Linked DNA regions of Schizosaccharomyces pombe. Changing the gene in region 4 together with the main gene of any one other region gives a genetic interaction. Each region holds a gene or a part of one and is shown on either strand. Other genes may lie near its edges. The genes, in order: rhp41, rhp23, rhp7 and uve1.

Evidence for each region.
Region 1: of uve1 (region 4) and rhp41, changing one enhances a phenotype caused by changing the other (phenotypic enhancement), as found in Schizosaccharomyces pombe (2 studies listed by BioGRID, with this or other methods).
Region 2: of uve1 (region 4) and rhp23, changing one enhances a phenotype caused by changing the other (phenotypic enhancement), as found in Schizosaccharomyces pombe (2 studies listed by BioGRID).
Region 3: mutations in uve1 (region 4) and rhp7 impair growth when combined (synthetic growth defect), as found in Schizosaccharomyces pombe (2 studies listed by BioGRID, with this or other methods).

Annotation. Positions count from the first base shown.
Region 1 is NC_003424.3:4,592,710-4,597,846, forward strand, and holds rhp41 (DNA repair protein Rhp41), read right to left. Parts: upstream 3,387-5,137; 5' UTR 3,081-3,386; coding exon 1,164-3,080; 3' UTR 891-1,163; downstream 1-890. Other genes in the region: glucan glucosidase exg2, read left to right, coding at 1-858; gid8 (ubiquitin ligase complex subunit protein), read left to right, coding at 3,730-3,830, 3,895-4,090, 4,135-4,560; tea5 (serine/threonine protein kinase Ppk2), read right to left, coding at 4,858-4,912, 4,971-5,137. UniProt on the Schizosaccharomyces pombe protein: Has a role in the nucleotide excision repair (NER) pathway. Acts in both transcription-coupled repair (TCR) which removes damage from the transcribed strand of active genes and in global genome repair (GGR) which removes damage in untranscribed DNA.
Region 2 is NC_003423.3:2,984,650-2,989,111, reverse strand, and holds rhp23 (UV excision repair protein rhp23), read right to left. Parts: upstream 2,184-4,462; 5' UTR 2,149-2,183; coding exon 2,080-2,148; intron 2,044-2,079; exon of another isoform or gene 2,040-2,043; coding exon 1,967-2,039; exon of another isoform or gene 1,926-1,966; coding exon 1,084-1,925; exon of another isoform or gene 1,037-1,083; coding exon 968-1,036; exon of another isoform or gene 916-967; coding exon 862-915; 3' UTR 623-861; downstream 1-622. Other genes in the region: telomerase regulator Est1, read right to left, coding at 1-145, 187-438; nucleosome assembly protein Nap2, read left to right, coding at 3,264-4,403. UniProt on the Schizosaccharomyces pombe protein: Involved in postreplication repair of UV-damaged DNA. Postreplication repair functions in gap-filling of a daughter strand on replication of damaged DNA.
Region 3 is NC_003421.2:103,653-108,778, forward strand, and holds rhp7 (DNA repair protein), read left to right. Parts: upstream 1-2,027; coding exon 2,028-2,084; exon of another isoform or gene 2,085-2,132; coding exon 2,133-3,767; 3' UTR 3,768-4,196; downstream 4,197-5,126. Other genes in the region: rhp16 (ATP-dependent helicase), read right to left, coding at 1-1,924; SPOM_SPCC330.19C (uncharacterized protein), read right to left, coding at 4,353-4,605, 4,666-4,685. UniProt on the Schizosaccharomyces pombe protein: Involved in global genome repair (GGR) via nucleotide excision repair (NER), in conjunction with rhp16, after UV irradiation.
Region 4 is NC_003423.3:2,837,072-2,841,560, reverse strand, and holds uve1 (endonuclease Uve1), read left to right. Parts: upstream 1-1,975; coding exon 1,976-3,775; 3' UTR 3,776-3,989; downstream 3,990-4,489. Other genes in the region: integral nuclear inner membrane protein Bqt4, read right to left, coding at 1-293, 340-393, 456-555, 595-626, 664-704; tRNA methyltransferase Ppm2, read left to right, coding at 4,178-4,489. UniProt on the Schizosaccharomyces pombe protein: Endonuclease for the repair of UV-irradiated DNA. Involved in the excision of cyclobutane pyrimidine dimers (CPD) and 6-4 pyrimidine pyrimidones (6-4PP) which forms the UV damage repair (UVDR) pathway. Also functions in oxidative damage repair in vivo.

The DNA.
Region 1 (5,137 bases), on a different chromosome or scaffold from region 4:
AATCACGGTGGATATTTGAATCAAATGGAGTGGTTGGATGGCACAGTGAAAGGCGAGGAAAATTCTCAATTCACACTAAAAATTCATGAAAGACTTGCTTCTTTTTTCTCTCAGAAACGGTATAGAAATGTCGTTACAATATACGGTGCACTTAACGAACCAAATTTCTTCGTTCTTGATGAGCACAAAATTACTGATTGGCATAAGCAAGCCTATGCGGTAATTCGCCAATCTAATTTTACAGGTCTAATATCACTTAGTGATGGATTTCGTGGTCCAGGTAATTGGGAAGATCATTTTGATCCATTTCACTTCCCAAACATACTTATCGATGTACATAGGTATATCATTTTTAATGATTTCTTAATTGGTTTGAGGCCAAAAGATAAACTTAATGTGATATGTAAGTCATGGAACGAAGAAATGAAGTTAAAGGCCAAATTACCGACGATTATAGGAGAGTGGAGCCTTGCGGATACAGATTGTGCTAAGTTTTTAAATAATGTTGGAGAGGGTGCTCGATGGGACGGCACTTTTACTCCTAATGGAGGTGTTGCCAGTTGTTCTGAAAAAGTTGGTTGTCGTTGCGACTTCGCAAATCAGGACCCCGAAAATTACGAGGATTCTTATCGAAAGTTTCTATATGCTTTAGCTACTTCACAAATTGAAACATTTGACAAAACATGGGGCTGGTTTTATTGGAACTGGGACACCGAAAATGCCACTCAATGGAGTTACAAAAAATCATGGCTGGCAGGTTTGTTGCCTCGCTTGGCTTACTCTACAACGAAGGATTTCAATTGCAGCATGCTTGATTCTAAATCTTTCATGGAGTTTGACGAGCAATCTGAATTTTGATGGTAATTAGAAAATGCAAGCATTGTTCTTTGGATAATATCAATCTTTTATTTTAATTTATGTCAATATAAAGGTACTTATTAAAGACCCCTGAATTCTATAGAATTTTAAAGTCATGATCGCTCATCTTTATTTGTGTACTAATATATATATACAAAGAAATATATGATAACAATTCAAACTTCGTATTACAATAAAAAATAAATAACAACCTTGATGTAGATAACACTAAGAATGTGTAGCCAGGTACTTTGTAAAATGATTCCATCATTGAGCTCGTAGATTAGGAAAATCGAATTTATCAATTAACCGTATTCTTCGAATACACGCTGACGAATCCGAAGGCCTGTAATCAGTCGCTTCCATAATAAAAGACAAGTCTTTCTTACATTCCTTGCCTCTGCTTCTTTTTCTTCCTGGTCTATCTCCTCTGCAATGAGATCGATAGCCTCTTCATAACGCTTAGAAACAACAACTCCCTCTAATTTAGGCTTTGAGTACTTCCGTTGAAAATCAAATCCAACAACTGCTTTTGCATAGTCAATCTCTAAAAATTTAGCTGCTGCCAAAGCACAACGTTTTCTACAATGATATGCTCCATATGGCAACATTGAAGGGACATATAAATCGATGTTTCCGTATGCATTTTTAGGAACAATGTTCGCAACAACCGGTTTCGGAGTGTACAACTGCGTAGCTTCTTCATCATACAAGGGTAATACTTTATCTCCATTCTTAACATGTTTTAAAGGCTGAGCTCCTGGCTTTATGATACGACCCTTACGATACCAATGTTCAGCAGAGAAGCCGTTGCTAACATATTTGCGTGGATACACTAATTCGACCCCATTTTTTGTGTTGATTCTTCCACAGGATTTACCAGTTTTAATAGCCTGGTTCTTTTTTAAATGCCTCTCCAAAACAAAAAGCGGGTGATCTTTCAAATCTTGAATATTCCTCGGAATTCCTTCTGATTGTTCAAGCCTTAGTAATTCCGCATCCTCTATAGCATCCATGTCATTATAAAAATCCCTTGGTTTTCCAATTTTAGAAAATATTCTATTCATCCAAGCCTTTCCAAAGGGAAAAATCTCGACTCTATTCTTTAATATTTTATAATAATGTAAACAATATTTTCGGGTAACATCTTTTACATACCCATTAGCCTCAATAGCAAATACATAAGTCATTTGATTTAGATGGTCACTGGAAGCCGGTTCAAACCTTCTGTACTTGCCAATGACACTAGCATCACCAAATGGATCAACACAAACCCATTTTTGCATAGCTTTATTAAAAGCCTCTACCCAAAAAACCGGTTTGGGAGAATCAATTACCTTTAGTTTTGTATCTTCTGTAACAATATCTGAGGCATCAAGATGTGAAAGATTTGAAAAAGAAGGCTGTATGATTTTCCTACGTTTGCGAAATCTAGAAGTAATGTGTGCACTTTCAGAGATATCGCTAGATGAATCATTTTCCATTTGCTGAGACCATGCCGGAACAATTTCATGACTACTTGCTTCATTTATGGCACCTTTAAATCGAAAAGATAAAACTTGTAGTGAAAAAACTAGTCTAGTTGGAACGTTTAAATTACGAAGAATAGATGCAAATAACTGGGTTCCATAATCTCTACTACCGGAAAGCAATTTTGAGTTTTTACAAAACTCCTCAAGGGATAAAGATTCAGAGATGAGGCTATTGTTTTGTAGTAAACCATAATTCGGTTTTCTTAATCCATTGGTAGTGATTTTATATTTCCGTTTCCAAACTTCGACGAGTCCAGCCAACCCGTGTAGGAAAGTTTTGTTCCGAATCATTTGTGACTTTTGAGAAGAGGGATGAAGCGAGACACGTATACCAGGAGGAATATATTTCACAAGATAATTTAGTCTATTGTCATCGCACCAAGTGTTTCGTGTGCAAAGATGATAAGTCAAACAGAGTAAGTGTAACTGATGAATTTGAAGACGAATCTTTCTATCAACGGAAGTGATCTTTAAGCGGCTACGTTTTTCAACCGTTCGATCAACGGTGGCCTCAACGTCTCCAAAATCATGAGTTGGTCGTTCTTGAATCAACCTTTCACCATGTACGGCGGATGAAAGGAGCGAAGAATTTAAAATAGGTGCAGTTTTAATATCATTATTAGGGAGACCAAGATCTAAATCTAACCATTCTTCATCATCACTATAGGTATTATCTTCGTCACTCATCATAGCATTTATATTTGATAGAAGCCAACTTTTTTCAGTATTAAGACTCGTTGCGCCCTTATTCTATTATATTATTTTAAAAAATGAAACATAAAAAACCAATGAAACGTTTTTGAGATGCGTAACTCTTTAAAAACACTAGGGAGCACGAGTTTATAAAGATACTTCAATTAAGTAGAATATAAGAAAATGTTTTGACCATTAATAATGCACGTAACACATGAGAAAAAGATTTGTATTTATTGATACGAAAAGTAGTTCATAACGTTAAGAAAAACAAATTCCTTTTCTATTAAAATCATAGCTAACGTTGAATTTGTTTATATACAGCGTTGTAGTGAAACCAAAAATCGCCGTTAGAGTACATTATATTTTAAGTTAGAAGTTTGCGTTGCATTTTGGTAAACGGCATATCTTTGAGGTAGCGATATGGCTACTTTGCAACTTCAATCTTTAGCATTGCACAGGCTATTCGAATTTCAAATTGCCTTTTTCAAGGGTTTACTATCTCTATCCTATATAAATTTCGTTAAATTTCTTTTTATCAAGAATTGAGGCTCGTTTATCCGGTCATAACTTTTGGTAGCTTTAAAAGGTCTCTTTGTTTAGGATAGAATAGAATTTGCTACCGTTCTCTCACGAGAGCTTAAAGATGGTAGGCACTTCTTCTTTAGATATTTCAATGAGCGGTAGCTCAAGTTCGGACGCAGAACAATGGGAGAAACAGACAAAAAGTGTCCATATCGATAATTCGTAAGTAACTGAAATAGTTGCTTCGCTGAACGTTACTGATGGTTACTAATCATTGCTTGTACAGAGACGTGAATTCGCTGATTTTAGATTATTTGGTGATTCAAGGTGACGAAGAAGCCGCAAAAACATTTGCTGAAGAAGCTCAAATTACGGATTATTATATTCCTCCATATGTAAAAGAACGTTTAGAGATTTGCGAGTTAATTAAATCAGGTTCAATTAACTCTGCAATATGCAAACTGAATGAATTGGAGCCAGAGGTATGCTGAAAGCAAGTAAGGATTACGAGTTAACAGCTACATAGATTTTGGACACAAATTCAGAACTTCTGTTTGAATTATTACGATTGAGATTGCTTGAATTGATACGAGAAGTTGTTGAAGAGAAAGATACCTCTGATTTAGCGGTAGAAAGATGTTTAAACTTTGCACATGAAAATTTAGCACCTTTAGCACCCTCAAATCAAAAGTTTTTGAATTCTTTAGAGTTGACAATGTCGCTTTTATGTTTTCCTCCTTCTTCCTACAGCCCTGCCTTGAAAAATGTTTTGAATTACAGCCAACGTGAGCGTGTTGCAAACCTTGCCAACGTTAGTATATTGAAGTCTCAAGGATTATCAAATGAGTCTAGGTTGTTGTCTTTGGTAAATTTTGAGCGCTGGTGTGAAAAAGAGGCACAAAGGAATTCGATTGAAGTGCAGAAATTTGTGCCCAAAGCATCCATAAAATGATTACTTTTTACGACCTTCCTCAGTTTATGCATTTATGTCTGTTACATCCATTTAACATAAGAACTTTTTTCGTATTGTTCTCACTAATGATAATTAAATTATTGAACTCACAAATGATAATATGACATTCAATTAACAAAGCCAATTTTTGTTGTTAAGCAACATCGTATAGTATCAAGTTACTGACAAGCAAAGCAAACACAACTTTTCCTTTTAAAAGTAAGGAGGGAATTTAATGGGTTATTAAATTAGCAATATTTTTTCTATGGCGAATAATTTGATTTTCTTCATTGGTAATCATAGATAACTGTAGCGAGATGCCTTTCGTTCTCGCAAATTAAGATTGTTTAGGCTAAAAAAAAAGGTTAGAATTGGATATAAACAAAAGTGTTCCAAAACTGAAAACTTACCAAATTTCAAAATTGAGCGTTTGTCGCTTTTCCAAAAAACTAGAAGTTTCCAACAACATATTGATATTAGGGCCTTGTAATGTTTCGGCTTGCAAGGTTTGTAAAAGGAATTCCTTAAATTCTTGGCTAATTAATCCACGAACTCGGTTGACTAAAACATTTGCATT
Region 2 (4,462 bases), 150 kb from region 4:
TACAAAAAAACGGTCTGTATGAATCCAATTGGAACTTAGATATTAGTTCACTTATGCAAGTCTGGTAAAAGATTGCACACGTTTTCAAGAATTTAAAGAAAACCTTTTTTGTCTTTTTTTTTTCAACAACGTGTCGAGGATGTATCTTAAAATTAATAATTGTCCCATACTTTAGTTTTTACTCACCTCTCTAAACCTACTTCTAAAATGTTGAATAATTTTATAATGGCAACATGACCATATAATATCTGGACGTTCAAAAGTATTTGTTTGAATACTTTTTAGACGATTTAACAGTTTCTTCTCAACTTCAATTTCAATTGCTATAATTTTCTCATATAAATCATGCTTAAAACCTCCTTGAGCTGCTTCACACAGCGCTTTGACGAGCTTTCCCTGCTCTTCACAAATTTCATTACTTGAAAGTTGTTGCGACATTAATTATAATATCGTCACATTTTAAGAAAAATATAAAAAATTATCAAAAACGTATTTCTGCAGCGTTGAGCGTGGAAATTAGACCACTTAAGTCACTTGACTTCTTCCTACTTGATATCTTATGCAAAAACCCTAAGCGTAATGACAATTCAGTATTAGAGAAAGAAAAATATGGTTCTATCAAATAAAATAGTAGGGAAAAAAAATATATATATGTATATATATAATATTTACATGTACGACAAATGATTGAAAACAACTTATGTGCTGTGCTCGGAGCAACCCTGTACTCAACAATTACAAAAATATCATTGTTTTGTTTAATATTCCGTATCCTTAACTAAATGCTAGCAATAAAGAGCTGAATTAGTTGCCATTTAGGCGTTTTTCAAGCGAAAAGCAATAATTTATAAGGTGCGCGCTTTAAGGTTCATCCTCAGATTCATGTCCATGCTCGAAAAGGTAATTAGCAGCAAGCTACAATTGTTAGTTGATAATTCAATAAATCAAAAAAAAAAAAAAAACACACCTCTTCATTTTTATCACAAGCTAAATAAGCCTGAATTACAATGTTTCTGTCGAAGCCAAGTTGACATAACTAAAAGCTTGTTAGATAGTTAAAACAAAAAAATAGAAATAACATACTCTATCAATACTCTCAGATTCTTCTTGAGTAATTTGAATCTGAATTCCACCAGAAGGTAAGGCAGACTCGCCTTCGGCACCCTCCGCCAATAATTGCAAAAATGCTTCAGGATTTTGCGTAATAGCTTGAGCCAATGCAGGATCTCCCTGCCCAATTTGTTGCAATATAGTTTCCAACATCTGTGGATTTTGTTGAACAATTTGTCTTAGCTGTTGAAATTGAGGAATGCTACGAAGGAAGCCTAGAGGGTCATCACCAACGGTATTAGAAGGTTGTTCTTGATTTTCATTTTCTGATAAAGCAGCTTGTTCAAAAAGATTCGCTGGCTGGCCAGTGGAAGTAGGAGCAAGGGCTTCGCTTTGCTGTTGCTGAGCAGCAAGGGCTGCAGCACTCTCTTCTCTCTGTCGATTGAGAATGTCTTCGGGAATACCAGTTAATAAGTATTCCACTGCCCGATCAGGGTTGTTAAAAGCGGCACGCATGGCTCTTTCAACTTCGCTGCGTTCGTATCCCATTTCTACCATATTTTCGACAGCAACATTTCGTTGAGCACCAACTGCCAATGTGTTGGCGTCTATTGGTGCTTCACTAGTGGCAGTAGTATCTGGGTTTGAAGGGGCAGCAGCAGCAACAGTTTGTGTAGTAGAGGTAGATTCCGCCACGGTAGAAGAAGGAGCTTCAACTTTCTTTTCAGGTACGGAAGCCGGAGGATTGGGGGCAGGACTGGCAGCTGATTTCGGAGTAGAGGTGGAAGTTTTGGGTCGTGAAACCATGCATACAATGAAATCCTGTTCTTTTATATTGTATTCGCCAACAGTTTTGTCATCAGCAAGGATTCGACCTATAAATTAGTATTTTACATATTAAAATTATGTTATATACCTGAGTAAATTAACTTTTGACGTTCGACTTCATAATTCTGTTGCGTTTGAATTTTTTCTTTTAATTCTGAAATCTGTTTACGTTAGAAAAATAATATGCCACAATTATCATACTTTGGTATCTGCAGAAACATCAGAAATAACAAATTTCTGCTGCTGTAGATTTTTGAATGTCAAATTCATTTTCAAAGCAAATTTGGCGTAGTGGGTAAATGTATAGTAATGAAAACCTCTTTGAAAAAACGTTGCATCAGAGAATAATTGTCAAGGTAGCAAACAAACACCATACACAAGTAACATTATTTGGTATCATCGCATTGTTTATCATAAAATGTGAATGAAAAATCTAAAAAGCAAAACAGTTTGGTTTATTTGAACCTAAAATTTAATGTAAGAAAATATTTCATTTGTTTGAAAGTGTTGTGAGTGAAACATTTACCTCGTTTCCAAGTCCATTAGTACTCAATACAGTGTATTAGTTTATTCTTTATTCTTTAATTTACTATATATATATATATTTTTCTGTTGGATTATTCATTCTCATTTTCTATTTATTTACAGAACGATCGCTAATAAATTTATATATATTAATTATGATTTGTTTATTTAAGTTAGCAATGACCGTTACAATAGCAGATTTTTATTTACAAGTTTGACTTTTGAATTATGTTCCGATAGTTTTTCGCTCCTCCGTGGGCAACTAACTAGTAAACAAATGCTACAATAAGGTTGTTTAACTCATGAATATAGAAGTATATGATACGTAGAGTTGTTTATTAATCAGTATCCATATATATATATTTTTTATAGAATTTTCAACTAATAATTGGGATACGATACATATGTTAAACTAATATGAATAGCGTAGACACTTTGCTTAAACGAGATATATACATTTGTTTATTTCATTGATTTTTTTTTTAGCTATTTGGACAGCTACATCAGAATTTGAAAGCAGCGCCTTTGGTTTATACAATCCATTACCTTTGTCAGAGAAAGTATAAGGAAAGCGGAGAGAAAAAAGTCAACGTATATGTAAACTTCCGGATGCTTTCTAATTTTACATATTCTTCCAAATAAAACCCCAAATACTATCCCAAACTATGATAGCCGCTAAACACATAAATATATTTCATTAAAGACTCTCATACGAAAAATGCTGTAAACATATCATTAAAATATGCTAAGCTGCAATAACGAGTCAGGCCCAACATCTCTTTGGTAGACTTCACGAAGATCCACAGTCCAACAACGAAGCTTTACCAATTTAATTTAATCTCCGTTTGCATTATTAAAATATGTCTAAAGGTCCAGGAGATTTTAAGAAGTCTTGGAATGGGTTTGCTGCTCAAACGCCACAAAATACTCCATCTTCAGATGTACATCTTAGTAAGGCCGCATTAGAAAAAGCTAGACAAACCTTGCAATCACAACTGGAGGACAAATCAGCACATGATGAAGTTAGCGGGTTATTGCGCAACAATCCGGCCATGTTATCAATGATTGAGGGACGCCTTAGCTCGTTGGTTGGAAAGTCGTCGGGATATATAGAGAGCCTTGCGCCAGCAGTCCAAAATCGTATTACAGCATTGAAAGGCCTTCAAAAAGATTGTGATGCAATTCAATATGAATTTCGTCAAAAAATGTTAGATCTGGAAACAAAATACGAGAAAAAATATCAACCTATTTTCTCTAGAAGAGCCGAAATTATCAAGGGTGTTTCTGAACCAGTGGACGACGAATTAGATCACGAGGAAGAAATATTTCAAAATAATCTTCCAGATCCTAAGGGAATTCCCGAATTTTGGCTGACTTGTCTTCATAATGTTTTCTTGGTTGGCGAAATGATAACACCAGAAGATGAAAATGTCTTGCGATCACTCAGCGACATTCGTTTTACCAACCTTTCGGGAGATGTTCATGGTTACAAACTAGAATTCGAATTTGACTCAAATGATTACTTTACAAACAAGATTTTAACGAAAACTTATTACTATAAAGATGATTTAAGTCCTTCGGGTGAGTTTTTGTATGATCATGCTGAGGGTGATAAGATTAATTGGATCAAGCCTGAAAAAAATTTAACGGTTAGAGTGGAGACAAAAAAACAACGTAACCGTAAAACAAATCAAACTAGATTGGTCCGTACTACGGTCCCTAATGACAGTTTTTTCAACTTTTTCTCACCTCCTCAGTTGGACGATGATGAATCTGATGATGGTTTGGATGACAAAACAGAGCTTTTAGAACTCGACTATCAATTGGGAGAAGTCTTTAAAGATCAAATCATACCCTTGGCAATTGACTGTTTCTTAGAAGAAGGTGACTTGAGCGATTTTAACCAAATGGATGAAGAAGACTCTGAAGACGCATATACTGATGAGGAGGATCTGTCTTCAGATGACGAAGAAATTTTGAGTAGCGAAATTAGTGATTGATATTTATATTGTGTTCGTTAGATTATGAGTAAGTTCAATGTGAGCAAAAATGAGAAATT
Region 3 (5,126 bases), on a different chromosome or scaffold from region 4:
TGAATAAATCTTTCCTCACTTCAACGACTCGAGGAGGTAATCCAAGGTCATCAGCCCTCTCTAATTTTGTTCGACGTAACATAATGTGTTTTAATAAAGAATGCACCTTTTTAAAAGCTAGCTTTCCTGGACCTTCGTATCCAAACTTTTGTATTGGTTTTAGCATTTCAGCGTTAAAATAGCAAGTATGACTCATTGGTTTATGGCCGCATTCGTCGCAATTACTTCTATCGGAAAATCTCCAGTGCAGAGATTTACATTCACATTGCAAGCAATAGTAGTAAGCAAAAGGATCTGCCCGTAGGAACCGAAGAAGTGAAAATAATTCTCCAATACGGTTTTGCAAAGGTGTTCCTGAAAGACATATCTTTCTTGTCGTTCTTAAGCCACAAACAGCTCTGGCAGTGTTACAAGTCCTTGATTTGATACCATGGGCCTCATCAAGTATAATTCGGTAAAACTCCATTTGATGAAGTAATGACTTTTCTTTTACAACACCGTTTTTCCTTCTGAATCCGCTGCGTTCCTTCCTGTAAACTGATTCAATTACATTGTAACTCGTTAGTACAACATCATAGCTCGAAAGCTCTTCTCCTGAAATATCACGAGCCTGGCCATAATAAAGATATGTACTCAGTGCTTTATTGGTATGTGTATCAATCTCTTCTTTCCATTGCATAATTGCTACAACCGGAGCAACAACCAAGGTTGGCTTACCTCGAGGTTCTGAAAGCAACAACGCAATTGTTTGAATAGTCTTACCCATACCCATTTCATCGGCCAAGATTCCTCCACCAAAAGAGGAATCTTCTTGTCGTTTTAACCAATATACACCTTCTCGTTGAAAAGGGAGAAGGTTTAGGACCAACTCTTTGGGTTGCTCGATCTGTTTCACTTCACGAGGTGCTTCTTCTTCCAATTTCTCCCAAACATGTTCTAGTTCAGGATGTTGTCGAATCAGACGATAATGGGTTCTTTCATGTGATGGAATTGATTTTGCTTGTGTTCTAGAGGAAGAGGACGCGGAAGAAGAAGCCCTAGCGGATACCCTCCTTCGTTTGGACTGGTAACTTAAAGGGATTGACTCTTCATCACTTTCCGTAGAAGAACTTGGAGCAGCTTCTGGAATTTCTACTTTACTATCAAAAGTTTCATCCTCTTTGATATCAATTATGCTAGCAACTTCATCACTTTCATCATCATCAATAAATTCGGATTCATTAGATTCTTCTGGAGATGACAATGGCACAAACTTTTTTTTCAAATTCGAGGACCTTAATGAACGTTTTCTGGCACTAGAAAAACCTGTATTGGGATTTGCTTCTACATTGTCTGTGCTGCTACCGGTGTGTGTACTGGTATCAGAAATGGATAATGGGGGTGTCGAATGTTGAGATGAGGTGTTGTTTGACTGGATAATCAATTTTTTGTTTGTTGACAGAGGTTCTTCAAACTCTTTTCCGTTCCAGCGCGTTGTCTCCATATCTAACTTGTCGTCACGCTCGACTTGTTGATTTGAAGCATTCCCCTTTGAATCACCATTATCATCTAGAACAAAATGCATATTTTCTTTTCCCTTATTACTATTCGAGTTTATTTTATTACATGACGTCCCCATTTGTGAATGTAAATTGTTTTCAACCACTTCCTCATCTTCACTTTCTACAATAATGCCCGCAATGGGAGAAGATGACCATTCATCTTGATTGCCTGGTACATCATGAATGTTATTTATCTCTGAATAAGTAGTAGAAAATGGAGCCTGCCCATTACTTTGCTCATCATTATTGTCTGCTTGAAGAGACGCCTGAGTAGTATGGTTATTGCGAGTATTTTTCCAATTTATGGAATCAATTGTATCGTTTGAATTAATATCTACAGCTTCATTTTGTAATTGGTCCACTTTTAGAGTAGATATATGCATAGTAGTGGTTGGTATGAGACAAGTTGCCACGCGATCTGAAGCGATTTAATTAAACTCAACCACACTTCCACCTTATCCTCAGCATACTAAGGATTTCTTTAAAATGTCAAGTGGAAGTCGGGTGAGAGGGCCAAATTCTGCTTTAACAGAATTTTTAAGAGTATGTGATGACTCTTTCTTAGCTCGGAGTTACTAATGCATTATTCAGTCTCAAGGTATCAATGCTTCAGCATTAGGACGTGCTCGTCCTCCTCGTCAAAGCGAGGAGTCAGCAGGGCAATCGACTGGGACAGAATCAGAAGTTATTCAAACACCGACTTCTGTTGAAGAAAACAACGAAGATGAAAACTCGATGTCGACAACGACAATTGAGATACCAGTAGTGAAACGACGAAATCTACGAAATCAAAAAAAGAAGAAGAAAACGGATGAAGAAGCTGAAGACAACGAGGACACTTTTTCAATGAATTCAAGAGCTGGGTTTTCTTATAAAGCAAGGGAGCATACGGGCAAACTAGATTTTTGCGCACACTGTAATTGTCGCTTTACAATAACCCCATACAGCAAATACAGCAATTCAGAGAAAGGGTGGCTATGTTATCCTTGTAGTCGTGGTGCTGAAGATCGATCGGTACCTGAATTAAGGACGAGAAAAAGAAAAGCATTGACCCGTAAAAAGGTGGCTGCCGCTACCATGGACGAAGAAATCAGTGTTCCTAAGCTTCAGGATTTGTGTATACGAGTTATTGCTGAATACATAAATGATATCGAAGCTTTTGGGGATATTGGCCAAGTGAATATGGACAAAATTAGCCAAATAATTTCAAAAAACCGCTCTCTTAACGATACTACTGTGAAATTATTCTTAAGTGGGGGTCAAACTGAATTAAAACTATATGATTGCTCAAAGATTACAGCAGATTCACTTTTCCAAATTGCTCAATACTGCCCAAATCTTCAAACTTTGCATCTTACTTATTGTGGTCAAATGCAGGATCAAGTTTTACACTTTTATGCGGATCATTTGACTGAATTAACAGATGTATCTTTTCAAGGTGCCTTTTTGGTTTCTTCCTCAGAATGGATAAATTTTTTTAAAAAACGGGGTTCAAAGCTTATAAGTTTAGAGCTTACGGATACTGCCCGAATTCATGTTTCGGTTATCAACGCTATAGTTGACTGTTGCCCAAATTTGATTAGCCTTAATCTCTCTAGAATTTTCTATCTTGATGATGAATGCGTCCGTCTATTAGCTGGTTGTAGAAATCTTGTCAGTTTGAAGATTGAATCACCAGGCGGCATCATTAATGATGGAAGTATATTAGATGTACTAAACCAAATTGGAAGCGGTTTGCATACTCTTAGTTTATCTGGTTGTACAAAATTAACTGATGAAGTTTTGAAACAAGGTATAGGTCCTTGTTGTGGTCGTCTTAAGCATCTAAATTTAAGTGGTTTGGAACTGTTAACAGATGATGAGGCCTCTATAGTTTTTGGTGAATGGAAGATTCAGTCAGGCTTAGAAACATTGTCCTTAAGAAGGTGTCTGTCACTTGGAGATAAAACTGTTCGTGCAGTATTGGTTAATTCAGGGCATACGCTTCGCACTCTGGATTTAAATGGAATGTCGTTTGTGACTGATGAAGCATTACAGTATATTGTCAATTTTCCATTACCTATGCTAAAAGCACTTGATGTCAGCTGGATTCGTGGAATGAATGACAAATTGGTATGCGATTTTGAAAGCAAAAAGCCAACGCTTGAGAAGCTTTTGGTATGGGGAGATAATCATGTCCTGATGCCCTCAAATCGGTTACTTCTGATAGGGCGTGAAGTTCAATAAGGATGGAAATACTTTCTTTTTCAATTTTATCAAAGGTTTTGGTTGTTGAATTGGACCTGTAATTATTCTTTTGAAAAATTTAATGACTAGTACATTATTTAAATTATCACCTTATTTGATGGACACTAAGTTCCTTGAACAGCCTCAATCTCTTTTTGTGTCTTTCTGATATTATTCTTTAACGAATATTTGTATTTGAAACCTTTTTATTTTTAATTTTATTTATTTATTTATTTTCAAATTAGATGATATGGTCTGCGAACAAATAGCTAACCATTTCTTTGGGTAATGAATTATTTTTTTATTACCATTCCCTCTCTTTACGAATGGATCTCCGAATCATTTTTACACATAATCAAACAATTTAACTACCTTTTTTTAAAAAAAAAATCCCGCTGCTCTTTGTTGTAATACAAATATCAAGCAATGTAATTTTCAATCACCTTGATTTTATATAGCATAAGATTATGAATAGTACACTAATGGTATTGCTTGCCAGACTAAAGAGGTTTACTGCTGCTCGGAAACGCAAAGCTCATCAAACAAACATAAATATTTATCCTTTTTAAACTGCAAACATTCTTTTCAAACTGTAATATTCCAATCGCCCGACAAGTTGGGCATATGAAAAATCAAACAATTGAAAACACTGGTTATGCAAGTCGATTTGGCTATCTCACAATCCGCCAGAAAAGTATGCAAAAAATATATACAAGGGCAAAAAAAAGCAAAAAGCAAGACAAGCGGTATGAGATTAATAATAATATTGAGTTGTAAACCGAAAATATTGATTCTAATGCTTAATAATTCGAGTTTACGACTACGGTCATGAGCCTCACTATAAAGAAGAATTACTTAGTGAGCCGTTGATTTATTATAAAAGAATGATTAAACGTACCTTTTGTTCAAGACTACCATTCTCCATTAAAGATATGCGATTATCTTCCTCTTGATTAATATACATCTTGAAAGAGGCTATCTTCAAACCTGTGAAATATCAATTTATATAGAGCAAATGGTCAGAGAATGAATGGGCTTTCTTCCAGAAAACGAGTTCACTTAAGCCAGGCAGGCCCTAGTCCTTATATACTATCTATTTTGCAGAGCTAAAGGGACGATTGTTAAAGCGGAGATAATGTCAGCAATACTGGACTACTCTATGATACACCATGTTGCGTATTTCTATATGTCACAAGCTCTACATTGTATTATAGATACCCGTTGATAAAAACTATTAGTAAGATTGTAAATGGAGCTTCTACTGAACCTCGTTTCACAGTTCAGTTATGAGCTATATCGGTGACCGATACTAACAGACTTCTTATAACAATAAATATAATATTGTTAGTTAACATACCG
Region 4 (4,489 bases):
CAACAGAAGTGGTAGTGGCAGATGTCGAAGATTCAGGTTCCCCCTCAGATGTCTCTGATTTCTGCGCAGTGGGGCGTGAAGGAGTCGCATAAGTTGAAGGAGTGGAGGATGCCTCTAACAAGGCGTTAATAAACGGGGTCATGCTGTAGTCTTTGGCAAGAGCCAAGGCATCTGCAGGAGGCACCCATAGTCCAGCAACACGTTTGTCTTCAATTGGGTTTAAATTATCACGAATCCATCTCATTTCCAAGTCTTCTTCTTCTTGGGTAGCCTTAGGGAAAGCTGAACGAAACCTAATCGGGTTTAGATTTTTAGAAAAAGATATGAAAAAACGCTTACATTGACGTAGCACTAATGCTTGAATCCTTTGCCATCCTCATAAGAAAGTGAGGTCTATATTTATATACATCATTAGTATTTTTCCAAAAACAACACTGCAAAAAAAAGATAATTACACTTTAGATTCCGGATTTGTACACTTGAGACGAACAAAAGTAGCTGGTCCATCAGGAAATTCTATTACCTGAGCGCGACACTTTGGGATTAATGGTGTATCTGCTATATTAGTTTCACGTAATTTCGGGAAGCGCGTACGGTCAAGTGTATCGTCTTTATAGAGAGGGTTTCTAATATCAATTAGTCGTTTTCTTTAAATATACGAACCTTTCAGCAGGTAAAGACCTGCTTTTCTCATTCTCAGTCATGGTATTCAATTAAGGGGAAAGGTAACAATTAATCGCCGTCGTCGACGTTTGTATAATTCCTCTCTTACAACGTTTATGTAATAGCTGATTGTATAGAGCAATAGTGGTGCTACCTTAAATGATAATATCGAGTGATGCTAGGACGTACTTCGTTATAAACTATGTGCAAAGCAAGAATTACTAATTCTTTAAACACCTCGAGGTCATGTATAGTCGATGCTTATGCTGAAATGTAATGTTAATATTGTTTATTTGAAGATTCAATGTGGTTCCAATTTTTTACGCTTTTCTGTTGGGATACAAACTTAAGGAAAATATTCACACGCGGGCAGCACGCTGCCAAATGTTAAATATAAGAAGCGCTGATCATTTATTTCTGCTAGAAGTTTGTTTTGTCAATCGATCAGCCAGGTCGGCAAAAACGATGCGGCAGTAAGAAGCGTTCTTCATGCTACTGGTTGTAATAGTATTTGCAGAAAAAACCAATCGTTTCGCTGATGCAGCTATCTACGGTTCTAAAGATATACTGTATTTTATCGTAAACAATTCGCTTCGTTTACTCTACCTACATTGCGATTTCGCAATGATGGCTTCTCAACCAACTCATTAATGCTGATGGTATTAAATCTATTGTGAATTACACGGTAATTGTTTGTATATTTTTAAAGATGTCCATGTCAGCAGAAAGCAGCATTAAGACGGTTCATAATACAATATAAATGACCCGAATCCGCCTACTTCTGCTTCCCATACACACATATGCTACAGATGGTAAAATAAATTGTCGCGACTCCTTGACTTGGCCAAATTTTCATTTCAAATGTTTTTTCCTATCTGCTGTTTTTTTGATTGTTCAACTGAATCTGCAATTATTAAAGAGAAAGCAACACAATCTTTTTACTTAACATTGTATTGCTAAACTAAGCTCGATTTGAGAAACCAAAATTTCCTCGTAAAAGCAGTCCTATCTACACTGAACAATAACTGTCAAAAGTTGAATCCCTTGAGCATCAGTAATCTCATGGCCTTCCAATAAAATCATAGCGAATTTTGACGTAACAATGATACAAAACCATTTTTGGTTTACTGGGAATGAAAGAAGATTTGTCTTCACACTCGTTGATTTTGACTAGTATTGAGTCTCAATCACTTCTTGTCGATATCTCTTTTCACTTACAAGATAATAGTTGTAGGGATATAAGCAAGTTTGCGAAGGGCTTATTTCCTTCTAAATAATGTCATATTGATACTAAAATCGTTTTCATTTTTTAATGCTTAGGCTATTGAAACGAAATATTCAAATCTCTAAACGCATTGTTTTCACCATATTAAAACAAAAGGCATTTAAAGGTAATCATCCTTGTGTACCGTCGGTTTGTACCATTACTTACTCTCGTTTTCATTGTTTACCCGATACCCTTAAAAGTTTACTTCCAATGAGCTCAAAAACCACACTCTCAATGTTACCGCAAGTTAATATCGGTGCGAATTCATTCTCTGCCGAAACACCAGTCGACTTAAAAAAAGAAAATGAGACTGAGTTAGCTAATATCAGTGGACCTCACAAAAAAAGTACTTCTACGTCTACACGAAAGAGGGCACGTAGCAGTAAAAAGAAAGCGACAGATTCTGTTTCCGATAAAATTGATGAGTCTGTTGCGTCCTATGATTCTTCAACTCATCTTAGGCGATCGTCGAGATCAAAAAAACCGGTCAACTACAATTCCTCGTCAGAATCCGAATCGGAGGAGCAAATTAGTAAAGCTACTAAAAAAGTTAAACAAAAAGAGGAAGAGGAGTATGTTGAAGAAGTCGACGAAAAGTCTCTTAAAAATGAAAGTAGCTCTGACGAGTTCGAACCGGTTGTGCCGGAACAGTTGGAAACTCCAATTTCTAAACGAAGACGGTCTCGTTCTTCTGCAAAAAATTTAGAAAAAGAATCTACAATGAATCTTGATGATCATGCTCCACGAGAGATGTTTGATTGTTTGGACAAACCCATACCCTGGCGAGGACGATTGGGGTATGCTTGTTTGAATACTATTTTAAGGTCAATGAAGGAGAGGGTTTTTTGTTCACGCACCTGCCGAATTACAACCATTCAACGTGATGGGCTCGAAAGTGTCAAGCAGCTAGGTACGCAAAATGTTTTAGATTTAATCAAATTGGTTGAGTGGAATCACAACTTTGGCATTCACTTCATGAGAGTGAGTTCTGATTTATTTCCTTTCGCAAGCCATGCAAAGTATGGATATACCCTTGAATTTGCACAATCTCATCTCGAGGAGGTGGGCAAGCTGGCAAATAAATATAATCATCGATTGACTATGCATCCTGGTCAGTACACCCAGATAGCCTCTCCACGAGAAGTCGTAGTTGATTCGGCAATACGTGATTTGGCTTATCATGATGAAATTCTCAGTCGTATGAAGTTGAATGAACAATTAAATAAAGACGCTGTTTTAATTATTCACCTTGGTGGTACCTTTGAAGGAAAAAAAGAAACATTGGATAGGTTTCGTAAAAATTATCAACGCTTGTCTGATTCGGTTAAAGCTCGTTTAGTTTTAGAAAACGATGATGTTTCTTGGTCAGTTCAAGATTTATTACCTTTATGCCAAGAACTTAATATTCCTCTAGTTTTGGATTGGCATCATCACAACATAGTGCCAGGAACGCTTCGTGAAGGAAGTTTAGATTTAATGCCATTAATCCCAACTATTCGAGAAACCTGGACAAGAAAGGGAATTACACAGAAGCAACATTACTCAGAATCGGCTGATCCAACGGCGATTTCTGGGATGAAACGACGTGCTCACTCTGATAGGGTGTTTGACTTTCCACCGTGTGATCCTACAATGGATCTAATGATAGAAGCTAAGGAAAAGGAACAGGCTGTATTTGAATTGTGTAGACGTTATGAGTTACAAAATCCACCATGTCCTCTTGAAATTATGGGGCCTGAATACGATCAAACTCGAGATGGATATTATCCGCCCGGAGCTGAAAAGCGTTTAACTGCAAGAAAAAGGCGTAGTAGAAAAGAAGAAGTAGAAGAGGATGAAAAATAAAAATCCGTCATACTTTTTGATTTATGGCATAATTTAGCCATCTGCATTTTCAATGCAATCATTTTTGTCTTTTTGGCTCTAGATATTTCCGAAAAAATTCACTAGAGTACTATTTATTTTCTTATTTGCTTACTGTCCATGCTAATATTTAATCTAAAAGTTATTGTTTTATTTACAATCAAATTTCAATAAAACATTTCAATTAAATATAAAATTTAAACTAGTAATTTACGATTTACACGAATTATGTAAAACTTTAAGCAATTCCGGTCATATTGGTATTGTCGTTTTCTGATCAATATTATAATTCCTTTCCACTAATCTTCGTAAGCTTGTGTAACTTAACTGCAAAAATTCTCAAGGCTTCGAAAGATTAAATGAGCTTCTCTTTATTCATATACAATGTCAAACAAAAATCAAAGGAAAACTAAGTCAAAAGATAGAGAAGTTCGTAAAACCAATGACAGCTCAATTCTTTCAAAAGCCTCAGTTGAAAAATGTGGATATCCAGGTTTTACCGTAGGACATTCTTATTATCAACCGTTTATACAGAAATCACCTAGAAGATCGCCAAGCGTAAATAGAGGTTATTGGACACGATGCATGGCTATTCGATTTGCAGTGTACCAGTTTTTGAAGAATAAAACCGGCAAAAGAAAGGCAATAGTGAATTTAGGTGCAGGATACGACCCCTTAGCCTTTCAACTTTTAAGT